Callithrix jacchus: one gene and its partners. Each later gene encodes a partner of the first gene's protein in a complex. Links are inferred from orthologs where the notes say so. Each region holds a gene or a part of one and is shown on either strand. Other genes may lie near its edges.

The links.
Region 2: the proteins of RAB35 (region 1) and RUSC2 are in contact, whole or in part, in a crystal structure (PDB 6IF2), measured with the Homo sapiens proteins. The link is inferred for Callithrix jacchus from reciprocal best matches to the Homo sapiens genes RAB35 and RUSC2. Residues at the interface, in NP_006852.1 of Homo sapiens: Asp4, Tyr5, Leu8, Phe9, Lys10, Ser22, Leu26, Asp30, Ile38, Thr40, Val43, Asp44, Phe45, Lys46, Ile47, Lys58, Gln60, Trp62, Thr76, Arg79, Gly80, His82; in NP_001129471.2 of Homo sapiens: Val997, Lys998, Asn1001, Asp1005, Val1008, Thr1013, Arg1015, Lys1020, Glu1119, Glu1155, Leu1158, Leu1159, Gln1161, Pro1162, Leu1165, Leu1166.
Region 3: the proteins of RAB35 (region 1) and DENND1B are in contact, whole or in part, in a crystal structure (PDB 3TW8), measured with the Homo sapiens proteins. The link is inferred for Callithrix jacchus from reciprocal best matches to the Homo sapiens genes RAB35 and DENND1B. Residues at the interface, in NP_006852.1 of Homo sapiens: Lys10, Leu12, Ser17, Ser36, Tyr37, Ile38, Thr39, Thr40, Ile41, Gly42, Val43, Asp44, Phe45, Gln60, Trp62, Thr64, Ala65, Gly66, Arg69, Phe70, Arg71, Thr72, Ile73, Thr74, Ser75, Thr76, Tyr77, Arg79, Gly80, Thr81; in NP_001182144.1 of Homo sapiens: Met1, Arg4, Glu43, Ser47, Phe51, Val72, Leu73, Thr74, Asp75, Ile76, Glu77, Ser78, His211, Glu212, Arg213, Arg214, Gln242, His243, Ile244, Ile246, Leu249, His252, Leu253, Asp255, Tyr256, Cys258, Ala259, Pro260, Met261, Pro262.
Region 4: the proteins of RAB35 (region 1) and ACAP2 are in contact, whole or in part, in a crystal structure (PDB 6IF3), measured with the Homo sapiens proteins. The link is inferred for Callithrix jacchus from reciprocal best matches to the Homo sapiens genes RAB35 and ACAP2. Residues at the interface, in NP_006852.1 of Homo sapiens: Arg3, Asp4, Tyr5, Leu8, Ile41, Gly42, Val43, Asp44, Phe45, Ile47, Lys58, Gln60, Trp62, Phe70, Arg71, Thr72, Ile73, Thr76, Arg79; in NP_036419.3 of Homo sapiens: Val715, Ala718, Asn719, Ala720, Asp721, Val723, Thr724, Arg727, Leu728, Arg730, Met731, Glu734, Met735, Ser738, Glu748, Thr749, Gln751, Arg755, Asp756, Gln759, Met760.

What each region holds. Positions count from the first base shown.
Region 1 is NC_133510.1:123,243,220-123,251,019, forward strand, and holds the start of RAB35 (ras-related protein Rab-35), read right to left. Parts: upstream 4,226-7,800; coding exon 4,174-4,225; intron 1-4,173. Other genes in the region: uncharacterized protein LOC108593240, read left to right, coding at 4,224-4,628. UniProt on the Homo sapiens protein: The small GTPases Rab are key regulators of intracellular membrane trafficking, from the formation of transport vesicles to their fusion with membranes.
Region 2 is NC_133502.1:142,403,815-142,411,630, reverse strand, and holds the start of RUSC2 (AP-4 complex accessory subunit RUSC2), read right to left. Parts: upstream 4,821-7,816; 5' UTR 4,553-4,820; intron 1-4,552. UniProt on the Homo sapiens protein: Associates with the adapter-like complex 4 (AP-4) and may therefore play a role in vesicular trafficking of proteins at the trans-Golgi network.
Region 3 is NC_133520.1:24,520,764-24,527,821, forward strand, and holds part of DENND1B (DENN domain-containing protein 1B), read right to left. Parts: intron 3,732-7,058; coding exon 3,672-3,731; intron 2,374-3,671; coding exon 2,320-2,373; intron 1-2,319. UniProt on the Homo sapiens protein: Guanine nucleotide exchange factor (GEF) for RAB35 that acts as a regulator of T-cell receptor (TCR) internalization in TH2 cells. Acts by promoting the exchange of GDP to GTP, converting inactive GDP-bound RAB35 into its active GTP-bound form.
Region 4 is NC_133516.1:24,368,577-24,376,280, forward strand, and holds the start of ACAP2 (arf-GAP with coiled-coil, ANK repeat and PH domain-containing protein 2), read right to left. Parts: upstream 4,406-7,704; 5' UTR 4,159-4,405; coding exon 4,106-4,158; intron 1-4,105. UniProt on the Homo sapiens protein: GTPase-activating protein (GAP) for ADP ribosylation factor 6 (ARF6). Doesn't show GAP activity for RAB35.

The DNA of each region.
Region 1 (7,800 bases):
CAGTTCTCCTGCCTCAGTCTCCAGAGTAGCTGGGATTACAGGCACCTGCCACCACATCCAGCTAATTTTTTTGTATTGTTAGTAGAGACACGGTTTCACCATGTTGGCCAAGCTGGTCTCGAACTCCTGACCTCAAGTGATCGCCTGCCTCAGCCTCCCAAAGCTGGGATTATAGGAGTGAGCCACAGCACCCAGCCTTTACCCCTGGCTGCTGTATCTGGTCCTCACCACACCAGCCACACACACATCTTGTCCTCGGCCTGCTCCTGCCTGGGCTCTGGCCCCCTCACTCCTCTCTGCTTCAGTTCCATCTCTTGAGGAGCCCTAGGCCTTTCAGTGAAATGTTCTCAATTTTTTTAAATTCTGAAACAAGGTCTTGCTCTGTTACTCAGGCTGGAGTGCAACAGCGCAATCACAGCTCATTGCAGTCTCCGCCTCCCAGACTCAAGATCGTCCCACCTCAGCCTCCCAGGTAGCTGAGACTATGGGCGTGCACCACCACACCCAGCTAATTTTCTTATTTTTTGTAGAGACAGGACCTCCTTATGTTGCCCAGGCTGGTCTCAAACTCCTGGGCTCAAGCGACCCTCCGCCTCAGCCTCCCAAAATGCTGAGATTATAGGCATGAGCCACCAAACCCAGCCTTTTAAAATTTTTGAGAGTGTCTCACTCTGTAACCCAGGCTGGAGTACAGTTGTGTGATCGTAACTCACTGTAACTTTCAACTCCTGGGTTAAAACGATCTTCCTGTCTCAGCCTCCCATGTAGCTGGGACTATAGGTTTGCAACACCACACCCAACTGATTTTTTTTTTTTTTAGATGGGGGTCTCACTATGTTGCCCAGGCTGGTCTCAAATTCAAGTGATCCTCCCACTTCAGCCCCCCAAAGCACTGGGATGAGCTACTGTGCCCAGCCATGTTCTCATTTTTAATCCTGCCTCAGCCACTACCACACTCTATAACCTCACACAAGTCACGCCCCATCTCTTAGCTTCAGTTTACTCATCTGTTAAGTGAAGGGCTAACTCCATCTCCGAATGAGGATGGCTGTTCTGAGGGATGCAGATGAAATGCTGTTACAAATCGGAGCCACTGTCAGTACAAGGGAAAGTATAGAAAGTAAAGAACCTCAGGCATAACGAAGAGATGCAGAGGTTGAGGGAGTCCACTGCAGAAGCATGCAGAATGTGCAGAGTGGGCAGCACTCTAGATGTATGAAGAAAGAAACCAGCTTTCATGGCGGGCCTGTTGTTTGCCAGCCCTGACACCAGCTGCTTGCACACATATTAGCATTGAGGTACAGTAACCCTGGCTTTGCCTCTGCTGAGCTGTCTGATTTGGGGCAAGTCAGTCACCTCCTCTGAGCCTTAGTTTCCTTGTTGTTTTTTTTTTTTTTTTTTTTTTTTGAGATGGAATTTCACTCTTGTTGCCCAGGCTGGAGAACAATGGCATGATCTTGGTTCATTGCAACTTTTGCCTACTGGGTTCAAGCAATTCTCCTGCCTCCCAAGTAGCTGGGATTACAGGCACATTCCGCCATGCCCAGCTACTTTTGTGGGGTTTTTTTTGTTTTTTTGAGACAGAGTTTCGCTCTTGTTACCCAGGCTGGAGTGCAATGGAGCAATCTCGGCTCACCGCAACCTCTGCCTCCTGGGTTCAGGCAATTCTCCTGCCTCAGCCTCCCGAGTAGCTGGGATTACAGGCGTGCGTCACTGTGCCCAGCTAATTTTTTTGTATTTTTAGTAGAGACGGGGTTTCACCATGTTGGCCAGCTTGGTCCTGATCTCTTGACCTCGTGATCCACCCACCTCGGCCTCCCAAAGTGCTGGGATTACAGGTTTGAGCCACCACGCCCCGCTACTTTTGTGTTTTTAGTAGAGACAAGGTTTCACCATGTTGGCCAGCTTGGTCTTGAACTCCTGACTTCAGGTGATCCGCCCACCTAGGCCTCCCAAAATGCTGGGATTATAGGTGTGAGCCACCACACCTGGCCTTAAGCCTTAGTTTCCTTATTTGACAAACCACACAGGCCATGGGTAAGAATAAGCATCTGTGAAATTATTCGATATACCTTAAGGAGGCATTCGCACAAGAAGCCCAGTTCAGGGGAGTGCATGATGTCAGTCTCTGTGCTCAGCCGCCAAAGCTTAGTTTGGACTTCCACAGCTACCATCTCCCAGCTTTGAGTATCTCTCTGTCAGGAGAAATCAAAGAGCACAGCGTCTACCTCCTCTACAACCCACACCTACATGACTGACCTAGGAGCTAGACCACATAAATCTTGACCCAATGAGTCTTCTTCCACACCTGACTTCGGAGAGAAAAATCAATTCATCATACAAAATGTGTTGTGAGAAAGCGGGCCAAACCCATCCCCTGGGTTTTACAGAGGAGAAGCGCCAACAAGCTCCATCTTCCTGCTGAGTTTAGACTTTTCATCATCAATGCAGAGGATATCAATGCAGAGGTCAGAGATGTCTTGCAGAGGGATAAAGGCTCCTGACCATGGCAGGCTGACGGTCACTCCAAAAAGAGAGAAATGGCCCGGTGCCAGTCCCTCAGAACCCAGGCCAGGACTGCAAGCAAATCATTTAGAGGAAGAAGCCTCAAGACCCTGAAGAAGCCAAAGGCCATCTCCAAGAGAACACTCCAGCTTGCCTGGTTTCCTTCCATTCAAACCATAACCATTCTGTCCTCCCCCTTTGTAACTCCATCCCCAAACACAGTAACTCTTCCATCTACCTGGTTAGCCCCCAGCTTTCCCCCCTTATCTCTCCCTTCCTCCAGCAACTATGGAAACCTCAGCCATCCTTCACCTGATCCAAACCACCAACCACATCTCCATCCAGCTTTACAAGTGAGGCCAAAATCACCCACTTCCCTGACCCAGCTCTGACACTGCTACCCAGCACTCCGACACCCCGGGTCTCACTCATTTGATTTGATCCCCTTTCCTTAACAGTCCATGGCCTCTGCCTCCAATCACATGACATCCCTCCCCACACTCAGCTCAGGTCTGGTCTACAAACTAAGCATGCTCCCGACTCTTTCATGGACATCGTATAACCCCAGCATCTCAGCTACACTCCCATAAACCTTCTGGGGCCTGCCTCCCTGAGCTCTTGGTCACCCCATAAACCTGCTTGCCTGCCATACTCCAAACAGCTCCAAAACCCTCCATCTTGTTCCAGAAACCAGTCTATCTTTTCTAAGGACACTTAATATTCATTCATTCTGCAAATATGTCTTAAGCACTTACTGGGAACCAGGCAGTGTTCTAGGCACAGGAGCTGCAGCAGTGATCAGGAGCCCTCAAGCAATGTGTGTGTGGCCAAAGCACTTTTATAATTTTGGCTGCCACACCCCCAGGACTCCTCTGTATATAGTAGCGAAACGGCAAACAGTGACGACTCACTGTGTGCCAGGAGCTGGGCACAACACTGCACAATCTCACTGAACACTCACATCAACCCCATAAGGCAGATCCAACCATCATTCCATTTTACAGATGAGAAAACTGAACCAGGTAGATATAACAATGATTCGGCGGGAATGTGCCAGGCCCTGAGCAAAACGCTTTACCCGCCTTACCTCATTTAAACCTCATGGCAATCCCAAGAGGCAGGTTCTGAGAATTCCTCTTTTTAGATGGGAAGAAACTGACACTTACAAAGGATACTGATGATAATGACAATAGTGAACATTTATTTCGAGCTTACTTTACCGGGTAGGACGCTGAGCACCTTTCCTACTTTATCCCATGGAATCCTCGCACCACCCAGCAAGGCACGTCCCCGCTTCTCAGATGAGGGAACTGAGGCTCAGGACGGCGAAGTAACTTGCCCAAGGTCAGCGAGAGGCAGCTGGTAGTCCCGAGACTCGAACCCAGGTCTCTCCAACTCCAGAGATCGCGCGACTTGACCAAGGTCACACGTGAAGCAGGGACAGGCGCGGTGACTGGACTCGGCGCGCTCGGCCCCTTCGCCCCGCGCCCCAACCTCCCCTCGGCGCGGCCCGGAGCCCCTCGGGGCCCCCCTGGAGCCCAGACCGCCGGGCAGCCCCGCCCGCCCGCCCCACGGAGGCCGGCACCTCCCCTCCCGCCTGCCGCCCCGAGGCCCCCGCGGGCCGCGCCCGGCAGGGCCCGCGCCGCCTCCGGCCGCTGCGGCCCTCACCGCTGTCGCCGATGATGAGCAGCTTGAAGAGGTGGTCGTAGTCCCGGGCCATGGCGGGCGGGGGCGGTGCGCGCGGGCGGGCGGGGTCGATACTGGCCTCGCGATCCGCAGCTCCCTCCGGGCTGCTCCGGCAGCGGCGGATCCACTTCCCGAACAAACAGCCGGAACTGACAGAAACACCTCCCTCCGTCCCCCTCCTCCTCCTCCTCAGCAGCCGCCGCCGCTGCCACCGCCTCCCTTCTTCCCGCCCCGCCCCGCCACTGCGCAGGCGCGGCGTCTGGCACCGCCTTGCGCAGCCGCAGCCCGAGCCGGCCGCGCCCTCGCCGCGCACGCGCCCCGGCGGAGTCTCGGCGCGTCTTTCTGGCGTGTCCTCCTGGAGCGTCGCAGCAGCTGTTCGCGGCCCTGAGAGCTGGCGGAGCGGAGCCGCTGTCAAGACCCAGCTGAAAGAAGCCTAAGGTGCCGGAGAAGCCCGGCCGTGGACGTTCTTTCTCCCTCATCTTCGAGACCCGCAAGCCCTGTGAGAGGAAATGACAAGCACGCCACGACCGTGGGGCGGGGCTCACGCGAGCTCCGAGTTTCCCGAGTCCGGGGCTGGGGACATGGAAGGTAGAGTCGCGCGAGGAATGGCCGGCACCCCGCCCCTTCCGCACCGACGCTGCCCTCGCGGAGCTGGCCCCCGCCCCGAGCCTGTGAACTGGACGCCGAGGGCGGCGGGCGGCTCCCGAGTTACGCAGAACGGGAGCTGCCGGCGGGAGCAGAGCTGCGAGGCTGTGAGCTTTGAGGGCAGCGCGGGGTCGAAATCCCATCCCAGCGCTGTGACCTCCAGAAGCCCACGTTGCCTCTTTGCTGGAGGGGAGGGAGTGGTCCAGGTTCAGAGTCTCGTGTAGCTCGGAGCCGAGCCTGGGAGCTGAATGACCCATTGTGCAAGGCGCACCTCGGAGACCGAAAGCAACCACTTCCCGGGCTTCAATTTCACACCACCTGCAGATACACATCTCAGAATCTGCGGCTGGGAAGACCTGGGCCGCCAGAAGCAAAGCATGTGCATTTTATCATCAGCCCCCGCTTTCTCGTTTTAGAGTGAGTTCCCACCTGCCCTACCTGAAACACCTGAAAGTAGTATGCCCCCACGGCCATTTTCAATGCAGAACTGCAGAGGGTTTTAAGCTCCTATTTCTTATAGCCCTGTCCCTTTCCAGGCGGGTATTTGTTGGATATTTCTACTTTTCTATCAAACTTCCTTTTCTTTTGAATTTATAAAAAACAATGCCGGGAGGTTAGGTAGGAGAATCGCTTGAATCCGGGAGGCGGAGGTTGCAGTGAGCCGAGATCGTGCCATTGCACTCCAGCCTGGACAAGAGCGAAAACTCCGTCTCAAAAAAAGAAAAAAAAAAAAAATTATGCTTGTCCTTAAAATTATGTGCAGAAGTTTACTGAAAAGTACAAGTTACTATTTTTGCTTCTGAAGCACTCCTCAAGGTAAACCCTGTTAGTTTTTAACAGGTAACCTTAAAATGCTTGACACATACTTGTTGAATGAGTAAGTGCCCTCGGTGAATTTCCTTTGCCTGTACAATCATATGTCTACCTTTTTAACAGTACACTTGTATCATTTAACAGCTGCGTGCGTGGTATGGTACTCTATCTGATGGTTGTACTTAACCGCCCTGCTATTAATAGACACTCATGTTGTTTATATTTTTTGGTTATTATAAACATTGTTGCTGGGGGGATCATTGAACAACACACGGAGTGTCTGATTCAAGCCTTGAGTTGTTTTTCCGGGAGCTGAGAATCAGTGTGGTGATGTCTAAAGAGCATGAGCTTGGAATCTGAAGGTACTGGCTAGGGAGAAGAGCTGCTCATGTGCTCCTGCTAATAGAAAAGTCCCCCTTGGTCTGGAAGGTTGGGGCCATCCTCTGACTCAGCAGCTTTAGGAATTATAGGGTGAGAAGGAAGTCACCCAGCCCTGACCAGCCAGCGAGGCAGTAGGTCCTCCCAGCTCATCTTCACAGCCTTGGCTGGAGTCAGGAAGACTGGTTTCAATGTTAAGATTGGAATCCTAGCCTCCATCCCTTAAAACCTTTGTGATCTTAGATAAGTCACATCATACTATCTCAGAGCCCCTGTTTCCTCACAGAACGGTTGTTTTAGAGGTATGTTCGTAAATTACCTGGCACATGTAGGCATGAGACTGACCGTAACCAATGTTACTCAAGGTCATTTTGCACTGACTCATTCATACTTTGAGCCATTTCCTGTTATAGACTATAGCACACATTTCCAACTTCCTAATAGGGCTGCAGGGTATTTTTGGGAAATAAATCAAAATTGACCATTAAAACCAGATTCCTGACTTTGCCTGGATATGCCATCTGGAAAGCAATCAGCATGAATTCTTCATTTATTTGGTAACTGTTTAATGAGTGCTTATGTGCCACAGATTGCAGAGGCCTTTTCCCTCCAGTTTACAGCCTTATCAGTTAAGACATACTCGTGAGGAAATTGAAAATATAGGACAATGCAGATAGAAAGCTGTCAAATACACAGTCTAGACTTCAGAGGAGGAAAGCTATCACTTTTAGCTGTAATGATGGGGAGAAGATTTCATCATAAAGATTTCATGATGGCACTGGAATATGAGAGCTTTGAGTGTCTATTTTTAGACAGCTGCTGTCACAGCCTATGAGAATCCTCAATTTTGGCTCGGAAGGGGAAATCCCTGCAGGTCAGGGTTATGTGCCTGGCATCTCCAAATGAATCAGCACATTTTCCTCCAGAATCATTGTTACAGATTTATTTAAACTGCAGTTGGATGGTGAGTTATGTTAAACTGTCTCTCTCCTTCTCACCATATAGGTATGTAAACTTTTGTGACCTAAAGTATCACTGTGTCCTGTGATTGGAAACTGTTTCACCGCTCTGAACAGGTAACTTAGAGATGAACTTTTATACCACCACCTGTGTGCACGTTAGAAACTATTAACAATGAGGAGGCATTGAAAGTTTTTGAGCAGAGAAGCAATCTCAAAATACTATTTTAGCAAAGTAATCTAACAGGAGTATGCAGGATGGATTTCAGCTGCAGAGCTTTAAAGGTTATTGCTGAAGCCTGGGTGTAAGGTAACAACGGACAGATGCAAAAGGCAATACGCAAACAGTATAACCAGACAAAGCAGATTCAAAAAAGAAATCATGTAATTTACCTGGTAACTAGATTCATCCCTTAATTCAGTAAATATTTGCACAGTTACTGTGCTGGACCTGGAGGCTGTAACATGAACAAAACCAAGCTCCTGTCCTCATGGCATTTACAGTTTAGTGGCGGAACAAGTCATTCATTTGACAAATATTTGATGACCTACTGCATGCCAGACATTGATCTAGGAGCTGAGGATTCAGCAGTAAGTAACATTTTAAAATGTTAAAAGCTTTCTTAGCACTTCCATTCTGATGGGGAATATAGGCAACAAGTATGTCCAAGGAGAAAACTAAAGCAGGACACACTGAGGTTTGCAGAAGCAGACAGTGAAGCCATGGGGGCGGCAGAAGGTTTGACGGTGAATTAAAAGAGAAACGGTGAAACTGATGAACTATTTTTCAGGATAGTGGAAGTAGAGGATTAGC
Region 2 (7,816 bases), on another chromosome or scaffold:
GAGTTTTGCTCTGTCACCCAGGTTGGAGTGCAGTGGCACAATCTCAGCTCACCACAACGTCAGCCTCTTGGGTTCAAACCAGCCTCCTGAGTAGCTTGTATTACAGGCGTGCACCACCACACCTGGCTAATTTTTGTATTTTTAGTATAGATGGAGTTTTAGCATGTTGGCCAGGCTGGTCTTGAATTCCTGATCTCAGGTGATCTGCCTGCCTCGGCCTCCCAAAGTGCTGGGATTACAGGCATGAGCCATCATGCCCAGCCTAGGATAGTTATTATTTTTTAAAAAAGAAAGAGTGTTTCCAAGGATGTGGAAAAATTGGAACCCTTATGCATTGCTGATGAGAATGGAAAATGCTATAGCCACTGTGGAAAACAATATGGTGGCTCCACACACACAAAAAAAAACCCCACAAAAACCAAAACATAAAATTACCATACAATCCATCCATCCCACTTCTGGGTATATAACCACAAGAACTGAAAGCAGGGATTCAAACACATCTGTATACTCATGTTCACAGCAGCATTTTTCATAATAGCCAAAAGACAGATGCAACCAAAATATCCATCAAGAGATGGATAAACAGAATATAGTGTATACATACAATGGAATATTATTTAGTGTTTAAAAGGAGTGAAATTCTGGCCAGGTGCTGTGGCTCACATCTGTAATCCCAGCACTTTGGAAGGCTGAGGCTGATGGATCACTTCAAGTCAGGAGTCAGACCAGCCTGGCCAACGTGGTGAAACCCTGTCTCTACTAACAATACAAAAATTAGCTGGGCATGGTGGTGTGCACCTGTAATTCCAGCTACTCAGGAGGCTGAGGCATGAGAATCACTTGAACCCAAGAGGCAGAGGCTGTAGTGAGCCAAGATCACACCAGGGCACTCCAGCCTGCATGACAGAGGGAGACTCTGTCTCAAAAAATAAATAAAAAGAAAAGGAGGGAAGTTCTGATACAGCCTATAATGTGGATGAACCTTAGACTTTAGGCTAACCAACTGCAGCACTACTCACAATAGCAAAGACAAGGAATCAACCTAAATATCCACCCATGACAGATTGGATAAACAAAATGTGGTACACATATGCTATGGAATACTATGCAGCCATAAAAAAGAATGAGATCATGTCTTTTACAGATACATGGATGGAGCTGGAGGCTATTATCCTTAGCAAACTAACAAAAACAGAAAACCAAATACTGCTTGTTCTCACTTATAAGTGGGAGCTAAATGCTGGGAACTTAAAAACACAAAGGAAACTACAGACACTGGGGTCTTGTTGAGGGTGGGAGGAGGGAGAGGAGCAAAAAAGATAGCTATTGGGTACTGGGCTTAATACCTGGGTGATCAAATAATCTGTACAACAAATCCCTGTGAAACTAGTTAATATAACAAACCCTTACATGTACCCCTGAACCTAAAATACAAGTTTAAAAAAAAAACCCAAAATCAAAAAAGACATTATGCTAATTGAAACAAATCACTCACAAAGGGACAAATAGTGCATAATTCCACTTACATGAGGTACCCACAGCAGTCAAATTCAGAGAGAGAAAGTAGAAAGCCTGGGGCTGAGTAGGGAGAAATGGGGAGTTAGTATCTTACTGGTACAGAGTTTCAGTTTGGGAAGATGAAAAAAATGTTCTGGAGATTGACGTCAGTAATGGTTGTGCAATAATGTGAATATATTTAATGCCACTTGAGAATGATTATGATGGTAAATTTCCTGTTATATATATTTTACCACAATAAAGAGTAAATATGGTACAGCACAGGTTCTGCTATGAGTTATATTTTGTTGTTGTTAGATTTTCCTCTACCCCACCACCTAGCTCTCTGAGCAATGTTGACATCTAGCTGCTCAAAGTAATGCTCTGGTTTTGCATGATGGATTCATTTGACAAAAGTTATATTAAATGCCAATGTCTGAATGGTTTTTTTTCCCCTGGGTAACTTCAACACTAATCAATCAGACCATCTCTAGATAGCCTGCCCTTACCCTAACAGGCAGTGAACCAGCTCTTCAGTCGAGTGACTTTTAGCAGGGTGCACAATCATTGTGTATGAGTAATAGGAAGAAAAGGGTGAGTTATTATCCTAAATTTGCAGATAAGCCCCAGAGAGAAAAATAGAACAGATAAGCCTTCCCATGAACTTGCCACATTTAGCAAGTAAAAATGCAGGCCTCCCTGTTGTTTATCTGAAATTCAGTTTTAACTGGGCACCCTTGTTTTATCTGGCCACACTTAAGTATTAGAGGTGAGCAGAAAAATAATCCAGGGTGTTCTGGGGGAACTGAAGTCTTAAGAGGGAGCCAAGACAGGAAAAAGTAAAAAAGGGCACTAAAAAGATACCATTAAAAAAAAAAATTGTACTGTTTAATCCATCCAGCTCAAGAGTCCGTCCCCAAATTGGGTTTCCATGATCCAAGACTTTATTTTATTTTATATATTTTTTGAGACGGAGTCTTATTCTGTTGCTAGGATGGAGTGCAGTGACGCAATCTGGACTCACTGCAACCTCTGCCTGGGTTCAAGCAATTCTTCCGCCTCAGCCTCCTGAGTAGCTGGGACCACAGGCGCATGCCACCACGCCCGGCTAATTTTTGTATTTTTAGTAGAGACGGGGTTTCACCATGGCCAGGATGGTCTTGATCTCTTGACCTAGTGATCCCCCTGCCTCGGCCTCCCACAGTGCTGGGATTACAGGTGTGAGCCACTGCGCCCCGCCTATTTCATTTTTTTTTTTTTTTTTTTTTTTTTGAGACGGAGAGTCGTTGTCACCCAGGCTGGAGTGCAGTGGCACAATCTCACCTCACTGCAACTTCTGTCTCCCAGGTTCAAGTGATTCTCCTGCCTCAGCCTCCCGAGTAGCTGGGATTACAGGTGCACACCACCATGCCCGGCTAATTTTTCTATTTTCAGTAGAGACGGGGTTTCACCTTGTTGGCCAGGCTGGTCTGGAACTCCTCACCTCTAGTGACCCGCCTACCTGAGCCTCCCAAAGTTCCAGGATTACAGGTTGAGCCACTGTGTCGGCTGGGCCCGATTCAAGACTTTATAAAGGTTATGTCAGAGGGTGGCAGACAGAAAGTGGAAAAGGATAAATCAGAACTAGAAATGGGTGAATGAGAACATGTCCAGCCTCCAGTTAAGGCAGCTGTGACTTCAGAAAGGAATCTTAAGCACCATCATAGAAGTCAGAGGGATCCTAACCTAGCTCAAAGCAGAAGGGAAACCATGGCTGGCCATACAACATAAGTAACAGGATACCAGGTATACTGTTTGGATCTGCTCTTCCATTAAGCCATCCACCACTGCCTGATACGTGAGGAGCTGGCCAGGAGAATCCAATCACTACTTTTATTTGCTGATACTTTGAGCCCAAGTTACAATAATGCCACTGCTAATTAGGTAACTACTTCCTAGCTTATCAACTCTTACAGCTTTCCAGCCGTTGTTTCATCCCTCAGCGATACCACCTGCTTCCCCATGGAACCCAAACCCTAATACCCTCAGGAAAGTAAATCTGCTCAGGTCACCCACCTAAGAATAAACAAAAACAGGTTTCAGGCCCTTTGTCCTTTGAAAATTCCACTTTTGTTTTTTTTAAAGGCCTGTGTTCTTTATCACGGACACTGTTCACATAGTAGTAATCCTTGCCTGACTATGATCTACTCGTTCCTGCGTTTCATTCCTCCGCTACTTTGTGCGTTTTGCTCAATTCTTTGTTCAAAACGCCAAGGACAACTGGTAGTCAAGACCCTCCACCGACACCACCACGGTGAGCCAGGGACCACGCTGGGGACTGAGGATACAAAGATGAGTAGTGTACGATCCTTGCCCCAGGACAGTTCCCTATGTCCGCAGGGCCAGCCTGGAGGGCCACAGCCAACCGTGGGCAACAGGATCACTCACTGTGCCCTTTCGCGGCAAGTGAGTGCAGTAGTAGGGGACGAGTACTGCCAAGCCAAAGGTTTTCCCCAGGTAAAACTGGATGACGGAGAGACGGAGACTGAAGCGACGCCGGCACCGGGCAGATATTAACAGGAACCAGGGGCTAAAAGGGCGGAGGGCGCAGAGGACCCAGCCGGGGACTGGCCGTAGGGAAGCCCCCGCTGCAGTCGCGGGCCTGGGTGCCGGGCGGCCGCGCTTCCCCAAAGCCGTCACAGGGGCTTGGGGTACCACGGTGACTACCGGGCGCGAGTCATTTTGTGGGGGAAGGTGTCTCCAAGGGGGCAGTTTGAGGAGACGGTTGGGGGTGCATTTGGGGTGGCGCCCAAATGGACGGTGAGTGCTGGATGTTTGAAGGTCGCGTGGACGCAGAGTTGACGAGTCAGAGAAGGCCGGGGGTCGGAAGGGCTGGGGACGAGGTCTGACCGGAGGGTCGGGGCGGACGCAGCGGGCGGGTGCAGCCGAGGGGGAAGGGAGACGCTGAGGGCACAGAGGTGGGTAGACAGGCCCTCCCTCCCCTAAGGGAGCCCTTGGAACGCGGGGTAGTGGGTCTGTGAGACCCCGCCAGCCTCCGGAGAGGCGTTCCTACCTCGTTTCTCGCCTCAGTCTCTTCCTTCCGCGCCGGCGGCGGCGGCGTGGTCTCGCACCCTCCAGGGGTCGCGTTATAGCCTAGAGGCGCCAGCGCCCCCTCCCTCCCGGCGGGTTGGAAATGCGGGCCCTCGTCAGCGTGGCTCAATGGTCCAATCTGGGTTGCCCTCAGGTCGCCCCTCCGGGCGGCGGGTTGGTTCAGTCCGCCCGGCCGCGGTGCATGCCCCCTCCCCGGCTCCCACAGCGATGGGCGCAGCCGAGTCACGCGCAGAGCTTTCCAGCGAGGGGAGCGGCGAGGCTTCCGCCGTGGCTCCGCCTTCTGCGGCCCGCGCCCGCCCCCGCGGGGTGGTGACTGGGACGCGCCGCTCGCGGGTACAGGAACCCAGGGAAGCCTAGGGCGCCTCGAGGGCTGGTGGATGTGAGCGTCTAGCTTCGTCTAAGACGGCGGTTCTCAACCCTAGCTCCCCAGTAGAACCTAGTGAGGAAACTAACAAAACAACGACAAACGGAGGCCTGACCTCACCCTGGACCGACTGATTCAGAATCACTGGGGTGGTGTGGTTGGGTTTGGCCCCTCCTTGCATAGCCAGGGTTCCGAGGCCCTGGTGAAACCTAGAACCCATACGCCCCCTGCTCTTCAGGGCCGGGTGTGTAGGGGAGTCTTGCTGCTTCTAGCCAGAGTGGGGTGGGGCAGGCAGTCCTGCAAATATTAGTTATGGGAAACCCACTATATTGGTCCGTTCTTACACTGCTATGGATACTATGAGGGAAAGAGGTTTAATTGACTCACAGTTCTGCACTGTTGGGGAAGCCGCAGGAAGCTTACAATTATAGCAGAAGGCAAAGGAGAAGTAGTCATCTTTTTCATGGGGTGGCAGAACAGAATGAGTGCAAGCAGGGAAATGCTAGATGCTTATAAAATCATCAGGTCTTGTGAGATTCACTCACTGTCACGAGAAGGGCAAGGGGGAAACCAACCCCGTGATCAAATTACCTCCACCTGGTCCCGCCCTTGACACGTGGGGATTATGGGGATTACAAGATGAGATTTTGGGCGGGGACACAGCCAAACTGTTACAGGCATGAGCAAGCTGGAGAGGGTTCTCCCCTTCTACCTACTAAGGATGTCGGCGATGGTTTTGAGGCAGGAGAACAGGGACTGGAGGCAGGGAACCTAAAGTTGTTTCATGCCAACTTCCTGGAACTAAATTGAAAGGAAAACCCTAACTTTCCATACCTAAGTAATAAAAGGACTAGAGACTATTCCCTTTGCAAACCCCCCATCTTTTCTGCACAGCAGATGGAAAATTGGCGGTCTGCAACCAAATAGACTAATTGTGGCCAAGTCTAAATTTGCATAGAAGTATAACTTTGTGACTTTACCCTAGCCTCTGATTTGCAAAAAGCCAATTTTCACATGTGCAAAACGCAACCAATCAGATGTTTGCTCAGGGGTGTGACCTTTGTAACTTCAGCCTTTGCTCGGCTGCTTTTTGCAACCAATCAGACTGATTGCAGGCTACCACTTCATTTACATGAGGTGAGCATGAAGTGGCCAATGGGAAACTCCTAGGGGATATTGGGACCCAAGAAAATGCTGTTTCCCGGCACCTGAGCGCTGCGCGACTGGCTGCCACTCTGTGGAGTGCTCGTTTGTTTTCAATAAATCCTTGCTTTCCTTCTTTTGTTGCTTCATTCTTTTTTTTTTTTTTGCTTTCCTGGATGTTTTGTCCAATTCTTTATTCAAACCGCCAAGAACCTGGTCAACTTGCAGTCACGACCCTCTACTGGTGGCAGTTCCGTAATTATCTCATTGCCTCTTTAAAAATGATAAATTGGCCGTGCTAGGGAGAGGCCATTTCTTGATGTTCCACACCTGTTAACATCAAAATGCTAATTGTATGCAGGCCCCAGGGAGAAGCAACTTTCTGGGCATGTGTGTTAAGAGACAAAAATGGTGAAATATGATCTTTTGGGGGCATCCTTCACTGGAAAAGGGTAATGAAATCACTGCACATTTGGGAAGCCCATTCTAAGGGAAGAATCATGGGAATGAGGCAAGCCTATAAAAGTCCTAGGAAAAAGAATGAAAAAAAAAAAGAAGAAGAAGAAAACAAAACAAAACAACAACAAAAAAAGTCCTAGGATGCCGGGTGTGGTGGCTCAGGCCTGTAATCCCAGTACTTTGGGAGGCTGAGGGGGCGGATCACCTGAGGTCAGGAGTTTGAGACCAAGCTGGCCAACACAGTGAAACCCTAACTCTACTAAAAATATAGAAATTAGCCAGGCATGGTGGTGGGCATCTATAATCCCAGCTACTTGGGAGGCTGAGGCAGGAGAATTGCTTGAACTCAGGAGGTAGAAGTTGCAGTGAGCTGAGATGGTGCCATTGCACTCCAGCCTAGGCAACAGAGCGAGACAACATCTCAAAAAATAATAATAATCCTAGGATGATGGTTAGCCACTTGACCTTCTCTCTTTAACTCTCATGTGCCCACTCAGGTCTCTTCCAAGCACACTTTCCCGTTCTAAGGCCTTTTTTTTTTTTTTTTGAGGCAGAGTCTCGCTCTGTAGCCCAGGCTGGAGTGCAGTGGCATGATCTCGGCTCACTGAACCTCCATCCTTCCAGCTTCAAGCAATTCTCCACCTCCATCTCCACCTCCTAAGCAGCTGGGATTACAGGTGCCCACCACCATGACCAGCTAATTTTTGTATTTTTAGTAGAGACTAAATCTACTAAATTTCACCATCTTAGCCAAGCTGGTCTTGAATTCCTGACCTCGTGATCCACCCTCCTCAGCTTCCCAAAGTGCTGGAATTACAGGTGTGAGCCACCATGCCTGGCCTCTAAGGCCTTTTTAAATAAACTTCCATTCCTGCTCTGGAACTTGCCTTGGTCTCTTTTTCTGCTTTACGCCCCACAGTTGAATTCTTTCTTTTTGAGGAAGCAAGGACTAAAGTTGTTACAGACCCATAAGGATAGGCTGCCGGTAACTTGGGGTAACTCAGATCTCACTAACAAAACCATATCACCCACTAAGAAGACTGTTTTAGGTTCCAAACTCACTGAAAGAGAGCTGGGGCTCACAGTCAAGGAAGCAGATAAATGTCATGATATGCAGCACATCCTCATGCTTCACAGAAGTGGCGTGAGCTGAGTTTTGAATAATGAGTGGGAGGTAAAGGGAGAATTGGCATGTGCAAAAGAACCAAGGGGCAAAATGACTAATGTGATTGAGAGGTGTGGTAGGCAATGGAGAGAGCC
Region 3 (7,058 bases), on another chromosome or scaffold:
GATTTCACCATGTTGACCAGCCTGGTCTCAAACTCCTGACCTCAGGTGATCTACCCACCTTGGCCTCCCAAACTGCTGGGATTACAGGTATGAGCCACCACACCTGGCCAAGAATCTGCTGTTTAAACAAATACTTCTGGTAATTCATACACAGACTGATGCATCAGAAACCAATGGCCCAAACAATACATCTGAGTCTTTCCGTGTTTGCCATTCACTATGCAGGCACAATCATTACCTGATATTACACAGCATGCACAAGGCACCCAAAGGATGAGGTGATTTTATAAGACAGCCCTTTGGTACTTTATTAAGGAAATTCACTTGTTTATACTTCAAGTCAGGCTTGCTTTGTACCACTAGAATCAAATATAATTTGATGATTGATTCCTTAATTTAGTGCTCTTAACCCCCACATGAGAATAAAACTGGGATAAGCTACATTAACTTTGACTTTTAGATCCTCTCCCTTATTATTTATTTTTAATTTTCTATAATGAAACTTAAGCACATTAGAAAGCAACAAACTAATTAAGGGTCTGGATAAGATATAACAAACAAAAACTGCAGTATCAGGTGGACTATGCCTCACAGGCTAAAACTTTTAGTTGGCCAAGAAATTAAGAAATCCAATTATTTCTTCAATGTCCAAAAGGTAGAAACTTTACCAACACAAATTGATAATCACGACAGAGCACATCAATAAAACCTGTAACTATCAGGAAGTGATGTTGAATTTGGTGGGAAGAGTTTTATTTCTTGTTTTCTCATCTTCCAATTCAGCTCTCCATATAAAAATTCATGTCATTTAACATTAGTATATTTCCTATAATCTAAAAGAAAGGTATAATTCTTAGATGGGGAATTATTTCTCAGCATAGAGTGCTACCTTATGCTTATGCTCTTGCTTTCTTTTCCCTAAAGAGGACTTTGTGCAAAGTAAAACATGTTAATAGATGTGTAAAAATACATATTCTCAGTGGCAGTTTTTCATTTGAAAGTTTGTTTCTTTGAAACCTTCAAAGTAATCGTCTTTTAAAAAATGTGACTTTTGTTAAATTAAGCTATTAGTTGTTTGTTAGTAAATCTAAGAGAAAGGTAAACAGGAGAGAGAGTAGATGGGAGCAACTTTGACTGTGAAACTCTGAAGTGAAGGGACAAGGGTCATTTAAGTCAAGGCATGGTCAGTCAGCCTTAAAGAAAACATAACAAGGAGTACCTGACCCACAATGTACAGCAATTGAGGCTTTAGGATCTACAGTAACCTGAGAGCTCTGATCACCTATCTCAGGCCCATAAGAGCAACTTGATACAAAGGCTTTTCATCAGGGTTTTCTGGATCCATCTGTACTGAAAACACCATTGATAGTCTTAGTTTGATACCAGAAAATTTACAATTGTATTACTGGACTTCCTTCACTACCCACATGGTTTTAGAAACCAAACATTCCGTGGGTTTGAAAACATTTGGAAAAACACTAGAATTCCAAAGAAAATAATAAGTATATATTGAAATACTTTCTTCCTGTTGATTTTTCCTTTACTTTTAATGAATTATTCCTACAGATTCATTTTAACTTTCCAAGGGAAGCTGAAGAAAAATTACATAATGAAATATTTCATTTTCACAGTTATCCAAATCATAAAAGCATATTTGTTACTTCCACTTCTCTATGTAAACTTTTCTACAAAATATAAATTTGTAATAACTATTAAAAACTGAAAATATTTCTAGTATGGCTACCATTATGACTCTAAATAAAATGCAAATTTTAGCAATTTTTATAATTTATTATAATACCCATCAAACCTTGAAAGATATGTATTGCTTTAAATTAAAGTCAGGAAATTAAGAACAGGACAGATAAGATTTGAAGCATTATATACAAGGAATATAAAATAATATGATAATTTCACTAAAGTAACAATTTGTGTGAAGACATTTCCCATTGCTAGTATTCTTCTCCACAGTAGAAGCCATCTCCTGAGGCATCTCTTCTATCAGATACAGAGAACCTGAGAACCTAATTGAATATATATGATCCTACCTAATTATTACAAGTGACAGAAATCATTTTCCTCCTATTACTGCTTGATTTTCCTTATCTACAACCAGATATTAAGAAGAAGGTAAAGGGGGCAGATACAAAAAGAAGAGAAGAAAATAACATCAATATTCCTTATTTCTTCATTATTTATCATAAACACAGATAATTATAATGTATCCTATTTCTCTATATAAAAATGCATAAACAGTGAGACCAAACTAAATAAAATTAATAATATAAGAATAATTAATACAGAAAATAGAAAACTTACACTCTCAGGTATTGTTGGGAGTCCAGTTACATCAGGGGTAATGAAGTAGGAATGCTAATCAATAAAAACAAATCACATATGAAAAAGATAATTAAAACTTGGTATCATTACATACAATTTGTAATGAAAATCAGAAAGAAAATATATTGAGAGAATTAATAAATGCCATGGACTGAAATTCAGTATTTGTTGAATTTGAAAGATTCTTAAATGAGTTAGGAGGTTTATATGAGATTTACCATGCAAAAAGTTAAGAGTTGGTTAAAAATATTTGACCTTAAAATTAAGATAAGACTAGGGAAAAGTGTTAAGGCAAAAAAGAGTACATTATTGAAAGGTTTATTTTGTACATATACATATATATATATACATATATATATACACTATATATACACACACACACATGTACACACATAGAAACATATATATTATTAAAACACATTTAGTTGACATAGATTGGAAAAATTAAAGCTTGCTAACCAAATATATCAACATCTATTAAGATTCCTAAGTTTCTATGGTAAGTAACAACCAATCTTTTTTTGTAAACATCAGCCACCCTAATATTTAGCAAATAGCAATAAAATATAATTTTTCAATGTTTAAAACTGCTTAAACATGTAGTGATCCCAAAATATGATCTTCACACATCCGCCAAACAATTAGCTTTTCTAATGTTCAAAGAAGTACAAGAGTTCATCACAATACTTAAAAGAGTATATTGTGTACATATGCTGTCATGTTACCAACAATATTCCCAAATTTACCACCCAGAATCAACGTGCAACTTAATCACCAAAAAATGTTTTATTTTCTGTTCATATTAATCTTCAAAATTATTTAAATATCTTAATCACATAAGGACATATTTAATACTATCATATTATTAACAATTAGAAAAGAAACACTCTAGCCAATACTTGAGCATAGTTGAACTCGTCAGAACAAGGCTAGTTAACACAGTCATAATGTATAATTTTCCAGGATGGAAGAACAATAGGAGAAAAATCACAAGATCTTCTGTGATCTTGGAGCCAAAAAATGTGACAAATCTCATGCTGTGAATATACTTCAAAATTACTACTACTGAAAATGGAGAATATGCATAGATTTTGGTCTCTATAAGCTAGTTTTATTTGCAATGGTTTTTAATAGTACTGTATTTTATAAAACTATGCTTTACAAGATAGTATAAACAGAAAATATTATATATTCCAATGATTAATTTTCTTAAAGAAATCAAATTTACCATTTCCCAAAGAGCTGGAGTGAATCTTAAAGGCATAGTGAAATAAATGATTATTTTTCCTATTTAATAGCGATTTTTAGAAGCCAACGTCCTTTTAACTCACCGGTACTAGAGAGGGCTGATCTTTCAGAAATTGCTCACAGGCAATAAATATCTCTTGGTTCTTATAACACATGAGAGAAAAAAATGAATATTTTACTTTCATGGGAGAAGCTTACACAACAATTCGCTGTGTAATTAAGACAAAACCCATGTAGCCACATTAGCCACTAAAAAATACTTGAATAAAAGTAATTATAAATATTATTTTAAATGCTGATTTGCTAATTTTATGCTAGAAAAATCCTAATGAAAGTATTTTCATATTACTAGAGAATGCTGTGGATATTTAATGATTTTGAAATATTCCAAAAAAAGTATTTTCACTAGACATTAACTTTTTATAAAAATATGTGATTTCTAGTGGCCATTATCCACTTGTACAGGAACAAAAACTTCCATAATCATCAATTTTAATCTGTCAGCATAAAACTAAAATCTCTTCTAGTAGCTGAAGATAAGTGTCCTAGTCCCAAATTTGCCACTTATTTAACAGCATTACACCAGATACATTACATTAGGAGTCTGTTACTGAAATCAAATACAATTAACTATTCATGGTAAACAAATGTAACAGCTGATTTTATCAACACTTAAGATATTATGACTTAGCCAGGCACAGTGGCTCATGCCTGTAATCCCAGCACTTTGGGAGGCCAAGGCGGGAGGATTGCCTAAGGTCAGGAGTTCAAGACCAGTTTGACCAACACAGTGAAACCTCATCTCTACTAAAAATACAAAACTAGCCAGGTGTGGTGGCAGGCGCCTGTAATCCCAGCTACTTGAAAGACTGAGGCAGGAGAATCGCTTGAAACCAAGAGGCGGAGGTTGCAGTGAGCTGAGATCACTACATTGCTTTCCAGCCTGGGCAGCAAAAGTGAAACTCCGTCTCAAAAAAAAAAAAAAAAAAAGATATTATAACTTTATTTATTTTATTTATTTATTTTTTTGAGATGGAGTTGTGCTCTTGTTACCCAGGCTGGAGTGCAATGGTGCGATCTCGGCTCACCGCAACCTCCGCCTCCTGGGTTCAGGCAATTCTCCTGCCTCAGCCTCCTGAGTAGCTGGGATTACAGGCACATGCCACCGTGCCCAGCTAATTTTTTGTATATTTAGTAGAGACGGGGTTTCACCATGTTGACCAGGATGGTCTCGATCTTTTGACCTCGTGATCCACCCGCCTTGGCCTCCCAAAGTGCTGGGATTACAGGCGTGAGCCACGATATTTTAACTTTAAAATAGGTACAAGACTTGAAAAACTATCATAGACTATTAATTCAAGTGCATATAAGAATTCTTATGGTGGCTCAAGCCTGTAATCCCAGCACTTTGGGAGGCTGAGGCGGGTGGATCACGAGGTCAAGAGATCAAGACCATCCTGGTCAACATGGTGAAACCCCGTCTCTACTAAAAATACAAAAAATTAGCTGGGCATGGTGGCACGTGCCTGTAATCCCAGCTACTCAGGAGGCTGAGGCAGGAGAATTGCCTGAACCCAGGAGGCTGAGGTTGCGGTGAGCCGAGATCGCACCATTGCACTCCAGCCTGGGTAACAAGAACAAAACTCCGTCTCAAACAAACAAAAAAAAAAGAATTCTTAATTATGGGAATAACTATTAAGGAATAGACGATAGTCAGTCAAATTCCTATATAAATAGGAATAGAACATAGTCAATGAAATTCCTTTGACAAGATTATTTCAGCTACAATGCAGCTATTTCAGAAGAAAACATTTTCTCCATATGAGATGAAACTTCAATTTACCACCACCTAACACCTGAATAGCTCTTCATGGTAGATCCAGATATATCACTTTATTTATTTGATTTGAGAAAGTTGATTACTAAAACAACTTTCTCAAAAGTTGACATGCTCAATTTCTCAAATGGAAAAAAAAGGATCATCTAAAGAGGTTAACTTTCTTGACTAACATTACACATTTACTGACTGTGACTTAAACCAAAATCTTCTAATCCTAAGTGAAAAAGACCTAGAAATCTTTAATTTATGGTTCTTATCAATAAAGATGAAGTGTTTCAATACCTGAAATTTTGGAGATGTATTTTGCTAAGATATTTATTTACCCCTGAGCAAATATGATACTCAAATTTAAGGAGAGCATATTTGTATTTCTCAATGCCACCTCCATTGTCTTAGCACCTCAATTTTCCTGAACTCTTTGACAGTGCCAGAATCACCTTATAAATATAACACTTTCAAAGATAAATGACCTTTATTTGGAAAATCCCAGGCTCTTCTTTATTATCCTTGACCTTTCCCTTGGCCTTTCTATTGCATTTCCACTAACCATAAACCTTGCACATTTTTGGCTTCAATGACCTGTAAGTCTAAGTTACTCTTTAACTGCTCTTTCCCCCAATTCTTTCACAGGATCTCCTTTCTTTTTCCCTATAGCCTATTTGGGCAATTAGAACTTAGCCTCTGCTCTATGCTCTTCTATATTTTATCCTTTAAACAGCTACAACTATGTCTACTGTTGACTCCCAAATTTGGGTTAAAAATTCCAGGTTATCCTTAGCTTTTTACCACCCAGTCTCCAAATGACTATTAAACCTTTCCACTTTGGCAGTGTGCAACAAAAGAAGATGCAGACATAAAGCAGCAGAGATCACAGGAAAGAAAAACACTGCATTAAGTTGTATGACAAGAGGTTTCACAAAAGTGAAGAGTAAGTTCTAGACTAACAATACATAATCAACAAAGTGACTTTTGTCCTAAAGTAATGATGCTCATTCAAGAAGCTCAACAAAACTATGTGACCAGAATAGAGGAGGAAAAAAAAAAATTCAACTGAATCTAAGAAATGGATGGTCCTGAAAGTCTAGCCAAAGTTTGAACAAATTCTATAGAAAATGGGGAAACAAAAAGTTTTCAGCTGGGACTTTATATAGTTTAAGTAAGTCTACCCTGACAGTCTTTTGTAGAAAGGACTGGAAGGAGAGACTCTAGACTAAGAACTCTTTGAAGTACTAAGCACCAGAACTACGATGCTAACCACCTTAGTCTACTACTAACAGTAGTGGTTAAAGAATGGAATAACGTAAGAGAACATTACTCTTATGTGAAATCACAGGATGAAATCTGGGCAAGACGCATGGACCAACAGAACAGAATAGAGAATGAAGAAATAAACCCAGATACTTACAGCCAACTGATCTTCAACAAAGCAAACAAAAACATAAGGTGGAGAAATGACACCCTTTTCAGGAGATAATTGGCTAGCCACATATAGGAAAATGAATTTTGGATCCTCATCTCTCACCTTATATAAAAATCAATGCAAGATGGATTAAGAACTTAAATCTACGATAAGAAACTATAACAATTCTAGAAGACAACATTGGAAAAACTCTTCTAGACATTGGCTTAG
Region 4 (7,704 bases), on another chromosome or scaffold:
TCCTGCATAGCTGGAATCACGGTCCACGCCATTATGCCCAGCTAATTTTTTTATTTTTGTAGAGATGAGGTCTCACTACGTTGACCACGCCAAGTATCAAACTCCTGGCCTCAAGTGATCCTCTTGTCTCAGCCTCCCAACTGCTAGGATTACAGGCATGAACCACTGTGCCATGCCACAACATTTTTATACTTGAACATGGCTCAGAGCAAAAATCTTTCACAATTCAGAAAGATTTTTATTTTTTCAATTTATTTTATTTATTTATTCTACTTTTTATTTCAAACAGAATATTCACTTCGTAAGTAGAACAGTATGTTTTGGGTTTTGGGGGTTATTTCAGATAATCTCACTCTGTGGCCCAGGCTGGAGTGCAGTGGCGCAACCCCAGCTCACTGCAGCCTCTGCCTACCGAGTTCAAGTGATTTCATGCCTCAGTCTCCCAAATAGCTGGGATTACAGATGCATGCTACCACACCTGGCTAAGTTTTGTATTTTTAGTAGAGATGAGGTTTTGCCATGTTGGCCAGGCTGGTGTCAAACTCCTGACCTTAAGTGATCGGCCAGCCTCAGCCTCCCAAAGTGCTGGGATTACAGACATGAGCCACAGTGTCCAGCCCAAGAATATGTTTAAAGAAAAGCACAATTTTTACTGAGATTGTGTAAAATTTTAAAGACCTACTACATGCAACTATAAACGATTTAGGGCCCAAACAAATTCAAACTTCAACATATTTGGTCAAAATGCAAAATTTCCACTGGGGGAAGACAAAGTGTACGTAGGCACTCAACAGTCTTGTAGATTTTTAGATGAACAAGATTTTTAGATCTCAGATGAACAAGATTTTGACCTTTAAGCTGATTTTAGACTGGTAATTAAAAAACCAAAAAGGGAACCCAAAATTATACAGCGAAATGTGCCCTCCAATCTAAAAACAAACAAAAAAAATGTTGACTGGAATGTAAAAGTAACCATTGACTCTTCAAATTACAAAAGAAAATGTTACAACTGAGACAACCATCTCCCTATTGCAACCAGTCGCCTTGGATTCTCCTCATTGATTTAACAGGAAAGTAAGTGTTTAAAGCCTGAACGATGGTGAAATTTTCATCAGCAAGATGTGCCTTTTGCATTCATTCTACAGCACCAAGACAGTTATGTGCACACACCAAACTTACATGCCATGAGATTCATTTACCAATAAAAACAGGAATTAGTTTAAAGACTGCACAATAGGGCCAGGGGCGGTGGCTCCCGCCTATAATCCCAGCACTTCGGGAGGCTGAGGCAGGTGGATCACGAGGTCAAGAGATCAAGACCATTTTGGTCAACAAGGTGAAACCCCGTCTCTACTAAAAATACAAAAATTAGCTGGGCAGGGTGGTGCACGCCTGTAGTCCCAGCTACTCGGGAGGCTGAGGCAGGAGAATTGCTTGAACCCAGGAGACGGAGGTTTCGGTGAGCCGAGATCGTGCCATTGCACTCCAGTCTGGGTAACAACAGCAAAACTCCATCTCAAAAAAAAAAAAAAAAGGCTGCACAATAGATGAGGACACAAGTGCAGCTGCCTTACTATCAAAAAACAAGCCCAGGCCTCACAAACTTGTTTTATTTTGATACAAGTTTCAGTATCACTCAATGTACACAATACTCTCAAAAGTAAAGTTCTTCCTTTACACACAGCAAGTGAATGAAGATTTCTGAAACATTCTTTTCAAATGCTACACAAATCCTCAAAGTTACAGGATTATAGAAAAACTATAAAAAATTAAGAATGTGGATAATGAAACTTCTATTTCTAGGCAGTCTTCCCTCTATTGCAAATCTAAATGTGTTCTCAAAATGTACAGAAGATGTTGGAGTTATTGAACTTTGGCGTCTCTTCCCAATTTGCCGCTAACAATAATTGGAATATGAAAAACAACTCTTGAAAACCTCTAATATTTTAATTAACGTATAATTTATGTTACAATCAAGTTTAACAAAAGTTCACTATAATATTCCCTACAACTTAATCAGTATCTTGCCGTTTTATTTTATATTCAATGATTCCTTTATTTCAAAAACAAAGACATCACATGGTTTGTGACCAACACACCAGTAGCTAGAAGTATTTCCAAATCACTTCTCTCAACTTAAAAAAAAATTAATGTGAAACAAAGAGCTCAAAGCTACATTCTCTAAGAGAAAAATGCTGTAATTTTTTCACTTAAAAATAAATAGCTGAGGCTGGGCACGGTGGCTCAAGCCTGTAATCCCAGCACTTTGGGAGGCCGAGGTGGGTGGATCACGAGGTCAAGAGATCGAGACCATTCTGGTCAACATGGTGAAACCCCGTCTCTACTAAAAATACAAAAAATTAGCTGGGCATGGTGGCCCGTGCCTGTAATCCCAGCTACTCAGGAGGCTGAGGCAGGAGAATTGCCTGAACCCAGGAGGCGGAGGTTGCAGTGAGCTGAGATCGCACCATTGCACTCCAGCCTGGGTAACAAGAGCGAAACTCCGTCTCAAGAAATAAATAAATAAATAAACAAATAGCTGAGTCATAGTAACAAAATTTCACAAAAAGCTGAACTTTCTAAGGTACACTTTAAAAATTACTCCACTAGCCACACTGTCCTGGACACCATCCTACAAGCCTGTCCTAGACAGTCTATTTGTGTCTGCTGAGTCCTTCAATTATGCAGAACATAAAAGTTTCGAAAACTAATCGCAACAGCAATCAAAGGAAGTGGGTTTTTGTTTTCTGCTTTTTTTTTTTTAACAAGCAATAGCCCTAAGCTCCAATAAAATTAACACCCAAAAATGATCAAAGGGCAAAGGCAAATTTTCTCTAAGTAGCAGTTCTTTAGTTTTACAATTCTTTTCCTTGCTTTTCACTGAAAGGAGAAGAAATTCAATTAAGTGTTAAGGATGAGAACAGCTAGTTCCCAGGCAGAGGATGCAATTTACAATCCAGGCTTTGCCCAGACATCAGCGGGCACACGCACACGCCAATGCTCAGAGGAAGCTTTCAAGAAATGTCACTATCTAATGGAAGTGTTAAGGCCTTGTATTTGGGAGGACTATGGCAAGCTCTGTAAATAAATACACTGTAAAACACAACCTAGAAAAACTCCATTGTCTAAAGCAACTCAAGAGTTTCCTACCATACTCAAAACAGAAAGAAGCTGTGTCCTGGACAACCTCAGGATCATCACCTCTCACATGGAAAGAAGGGCAGCCCATGTGAGTCGGAGTGCCCCCATGTCAGCTCCGTGACAGATCCACTGGGAGCATCCGACTGTGATCCCGGCCCTCCAGGGCAGAGGCTGCTGGAAGAGGAACACACATGCAATCTTCACGGCCCTCCTACTTCCGTTCTCAAAACAGAAATGCACTTTTCTCCTAGTCCTCCGCCCTCAGCCCAGAACTCTCGACAGCTGTGCCCACTTCAACGAGCTTAATGGAAAGAAAAGCCAGGTAGTCATCAACTAGGGACCATGGAATGCGGCTGGTCACAGAGCTTCCCCCGGCGATTCCCGCACGCATCCACCGCGGGCGCCCTCCGGAGAGTCGCTCTGGCCGGGGGCACCAAGAAGCAGAAGTCGGCGTTCCAGTTCGCCCCGGGGGAAGGGGGGCAGAAAAGCGAAAAGAGGAACTAAGTGAACTGCGAGGCGATGCTCTGAAAGCTCCCTCAAATAGGGGGTGGGGAGGAGGTGGAAACTAAGAAGGGGCGGAAGGAAGGGGAAAGGAACAGCAGCCAGAGGAGGAAGGCGGCGAGAGCGAGCGCCAGCGAAGGAGACGAGACTTCAGGAACGCTGCTGCACCCCGTTTCCCCCCAGCGGGAGCGGGTGCGCCGGCCTTCGGGGCGCTCCGCCCCGGCAGAGGGCGAGGAAAGGGATGAGGAGGCGACGTTCCCGTCCCCGCCACTTCCTCGTCCCTTAGGAAGGCTCGGTGGTGACTGCAGTGCCCTCGCGGAATGGGAAGCGGCGGCAACTGCCGCTCGCCCCGTCGGAAGGCGCGGACGGCGGGGCCTCCTGCAGATGCGCGAGCCCGCTTTCACGCCCCCAGCGCCGGGGAGGCAGCTCCGCGGTGACGCCGGCCACCCGGCTGTGCGGTTACCTGAAGCGGGGCGAGTCCTTCAGACACTCCTCGAAATCCACCGTCATCTTCATCCGGCCTCCGCCTCGCCTCGCAGGCGGCGCTGGCAGAGCCGAGGGGGCCGCGCGAGCGGCCGCGCTGGGGACGCAGACGGCTAGGGCGGGCGCACGGCCGCGACTAGCGTAGCGCGGAGCTGCGAAGGGCGCCTCGCCCGCTGGTCATAGCATCCGCGAAGACGGCGACGGCTCGTCAGGCCGCAGTCCGGCCCCTCTTCCTCCCGCCCCAAGGAGAGCACTGAGCGCAGGGAAACGGCCGGGGAGTGACAGCCGCGGCCAGCCAGCCACGAACCTAGCGGCCAAGGGCGGGGTATCCGGCAGCACCGCCTGCGGGCGCCCGGGCAACGGGTCTGAGTGACGGAAACCGGAACCAATGAGCAGCGCGACCGTGGGCGCCTCCTTGCCACAACCGCCCCCGAGGGCCAACCGGGATGGGCAGGCGTCGCTAGGCGGGACGCACCGGTTGCTGGGAGGCCGGCCGCTGAGGCTCCTTGGGAAGGAAGTCACGTGGCTGCGGCCGCGCTTCCCTCAGAACCCCCGCCTCTTCTCCTGCTCCCAGAGCCCCGCCCTGCTGAGCTGCTAGCCCAGAGGAGCTGCCTCCTGCAGGTCTAAGGAAAGAAATTTGTTTTTTAAAGCAGCTTAGGCAGAAATCTGAAGAGGTTAGAGTCAGAAGTTATAAAAGAAAGACATGGGCTAAGCTACTTCTTCCTTTCAGTATAGAGACACTGAGGCCAGGAGACGAGCGAGGGTAAGTAACTTTATTTTTTTTTTTTTAATTTTATTTTTTGAGACGGAGTTTTGCTGTTGTTACCCAGGCTGGAGTTCAATGGCGCGATCTCAGCTCACCGCAACCTCCACCTCCTGGGTTCAGGCAGTTCTCCTGCCTCAAGCCTCCTGAGTAGCTGGGATTACAGGCACACGCCACCGTGCCCCAGCTAATTTTTTGTATTTTTAGTAGAGACGGGGTTTCACCATGTTGACCAGGATGGTCTCGATCCCTTGACCTCGTGATCCACCCGCCTCGGCCTCCCAAAGTGCTGAGATTACAGGCTTGAGCCACCGCGCCCGGCCAGGGGTAAGTAACTTTAATGATAAAATCTATCTTTCACGTATTGGTTTCACCGTTTCATAATTTGGAAATTGCTCCCATGTACATCATCTCATATAACCAGAGGCCACTTCCTGAAGGAGCTGGCGTTTGGGTCGGACATAGGATTTAAGCAGGTATGGGAGGTAGGGTGCTTCGTGTGGAGGAACTCCTCTCAAAACTGCAGAAAACATTCCTCCTCACTGACACTTTGCTCCCAGTGGTTTTCACCTGTTCTGCGATGGTGGCGTTCTGAAGACCAGGCTCATCGTACTTACCTTGCAACACCTGTGCCTCTAATGAACACTTTTTCTAGAAGCACTTTAAGATATTTATCATCTGATCCTCACAGTAATCCTACAAGGCAGGTATTTGCCATACTCCTTGATTTTTAAGACGCCATTGATTGTAAAAAGTACAAGGATATATTATATTTAAATGAATAAGTTTTAAGCCGACCTAAAAAGTATGGGCGTATCTATAAAAATGCATATGTAGGGTGTTCTAACAGCATGTTGGCTTTGAGTGAGAATCCGAAGGTAAACTTCCTGGATTTACGTTCTAGCTTTCTCGCTTTAAAATGAACATAACACAACAAATCTGATAAAGTTGTCCAGTTAACACAGTGCCACATAGCAATCATTCAGTAAATGTTGACTATTATAATTGTACCACTTTCATCTTTAGTACTGTAATCAAAGGACTTAAGTCTAAGCCCGCTCACTTTCACTGTCTGAAGATTTTGTTTGTCTCAAAAACAAACAAACAAACAATCTCATTCTGTTCCCCAGGCTGGTCTCAAACTCCTAGCCTCAAGTGATCCTCCTGTCTCAGCCTCCCAAAATGCTGGGATTACAGGTGTGAGCCATGCACCCAGACTTCTAAAGTCTTAATATAACCTTTTTAACATCTGGCTAAGTATAACATAATGACATACTGTTTTTCATAACTCATCAAGAGATATCTTGATCTCTTTAGCATCTTTAGAAATTAACAGTATAGGCAGGACATGGAGGCTCACACCTGTAATCCTAGCACTCTGGGAGGCCGAGGTGAGCAGATCCCTTGCTCCAGGAGTTCCAGACCAGCCTGGACAACTCTACAAAAAAATTACCAGGCACATGCCTATAGTCCCAGCTACTCAGGAGGCTGAGGTGGGAGGATCACTTAAGCCTAGGAAGTCAAGACTGCAATGATCCATGATCATGCCACTGCACTCCAGCCTGGGTAGACAAAGCAAAACACTGTATCAAAAAAAAAAGGAAAAATAACAGTATAATTTTGAGGCATTTCAAAAAATATACAAGCATTATATACATTTCTTCTTTGCTATAAACTTCTTTTTTTAATTGTGTATTCCTGGAATCTATACAGCTTTTCTTGATAGCTAAAAACAGACTATTGACTGTTAAATGTTCCCGGTCCTCAAGCACATTAGTGGTCAGGCCAACCTTCTCTAATATTGTAACTTCAATGTCAAATTTACCAAGAGAGTCAGCAATCTCTACTACATTTGGTTGCATTCCTGATATGTGACAGCTAATCTGCACATACAATAACTTATTTTAATACTTCACATGGTAGCCTTTTCGAAGATACCTAAAGTGACACTTTGGGGTTCAAATTAAAATTCAACTGCATGGCACCACAAAGGCAAATAACTAAGCTAATTATCAAGTGAACATCTTTCTGTGGATAGCAAATTTGCATATACCCAGTTAGTGATAACACTGTCACAATTTTTCTTCCTTGCCCTGTGATAAAGCAAGCACTTTGGGGTATCAATTGTAAGATATGTCCTAAATAAAGAAACATTAAAGTGGGATGGGGTGAGAGCAGTGAGTCTTAGAATAAAAGAAATACAATATTATTATCTTCATCTTTCTTTTTTTTTTTTTTTTTTTTGAGATGGAGTCTTGCTCTGTCACCCAGTCTAGAATGCAGTAACACGATCTCAGCTCACTGGAACCTCCTCCTCCCAGGTTCAAGCGATTCTCCTGTCTTAGCCTCCTGAGTAGCTGGGATTTCAGGCATGCACCACCACACCTGGCTAATTTGTGTATTTTCAGTGTAATAATGGAAATCAAGGTCCCAAGATATAAAAATAACTTAGCAGGTGACTCAGGCCAAACACAGGCTGCATGATGCCAGATCCTAACTATAAAATGCCCTCCCTCCCCTTAAGAATTCTGCCTTTGCAGTGTTACTCTGCCTGTGTAGCAATCTTCCTTTCATCTTCTCTTTAAAACAACATTCTTGGGCCAGGCTTAGTGGCTCACGCCTGTAATCCCAGCACTTTGGGAGGCTGAGGCGGGTGGATCACAAGATCAAGAGATCCAGACCATCCTGGCTAACATAGTGAAACCCAGTCTCTACTAAAATACAAAAATTAGCTGGGCATGGTGGCGCCCACCTGTAGTCCCAGCTATTTGGGAGGCTGAGCCAGGAGAATTACTTGAACCCAGGAGGCAGAGGTT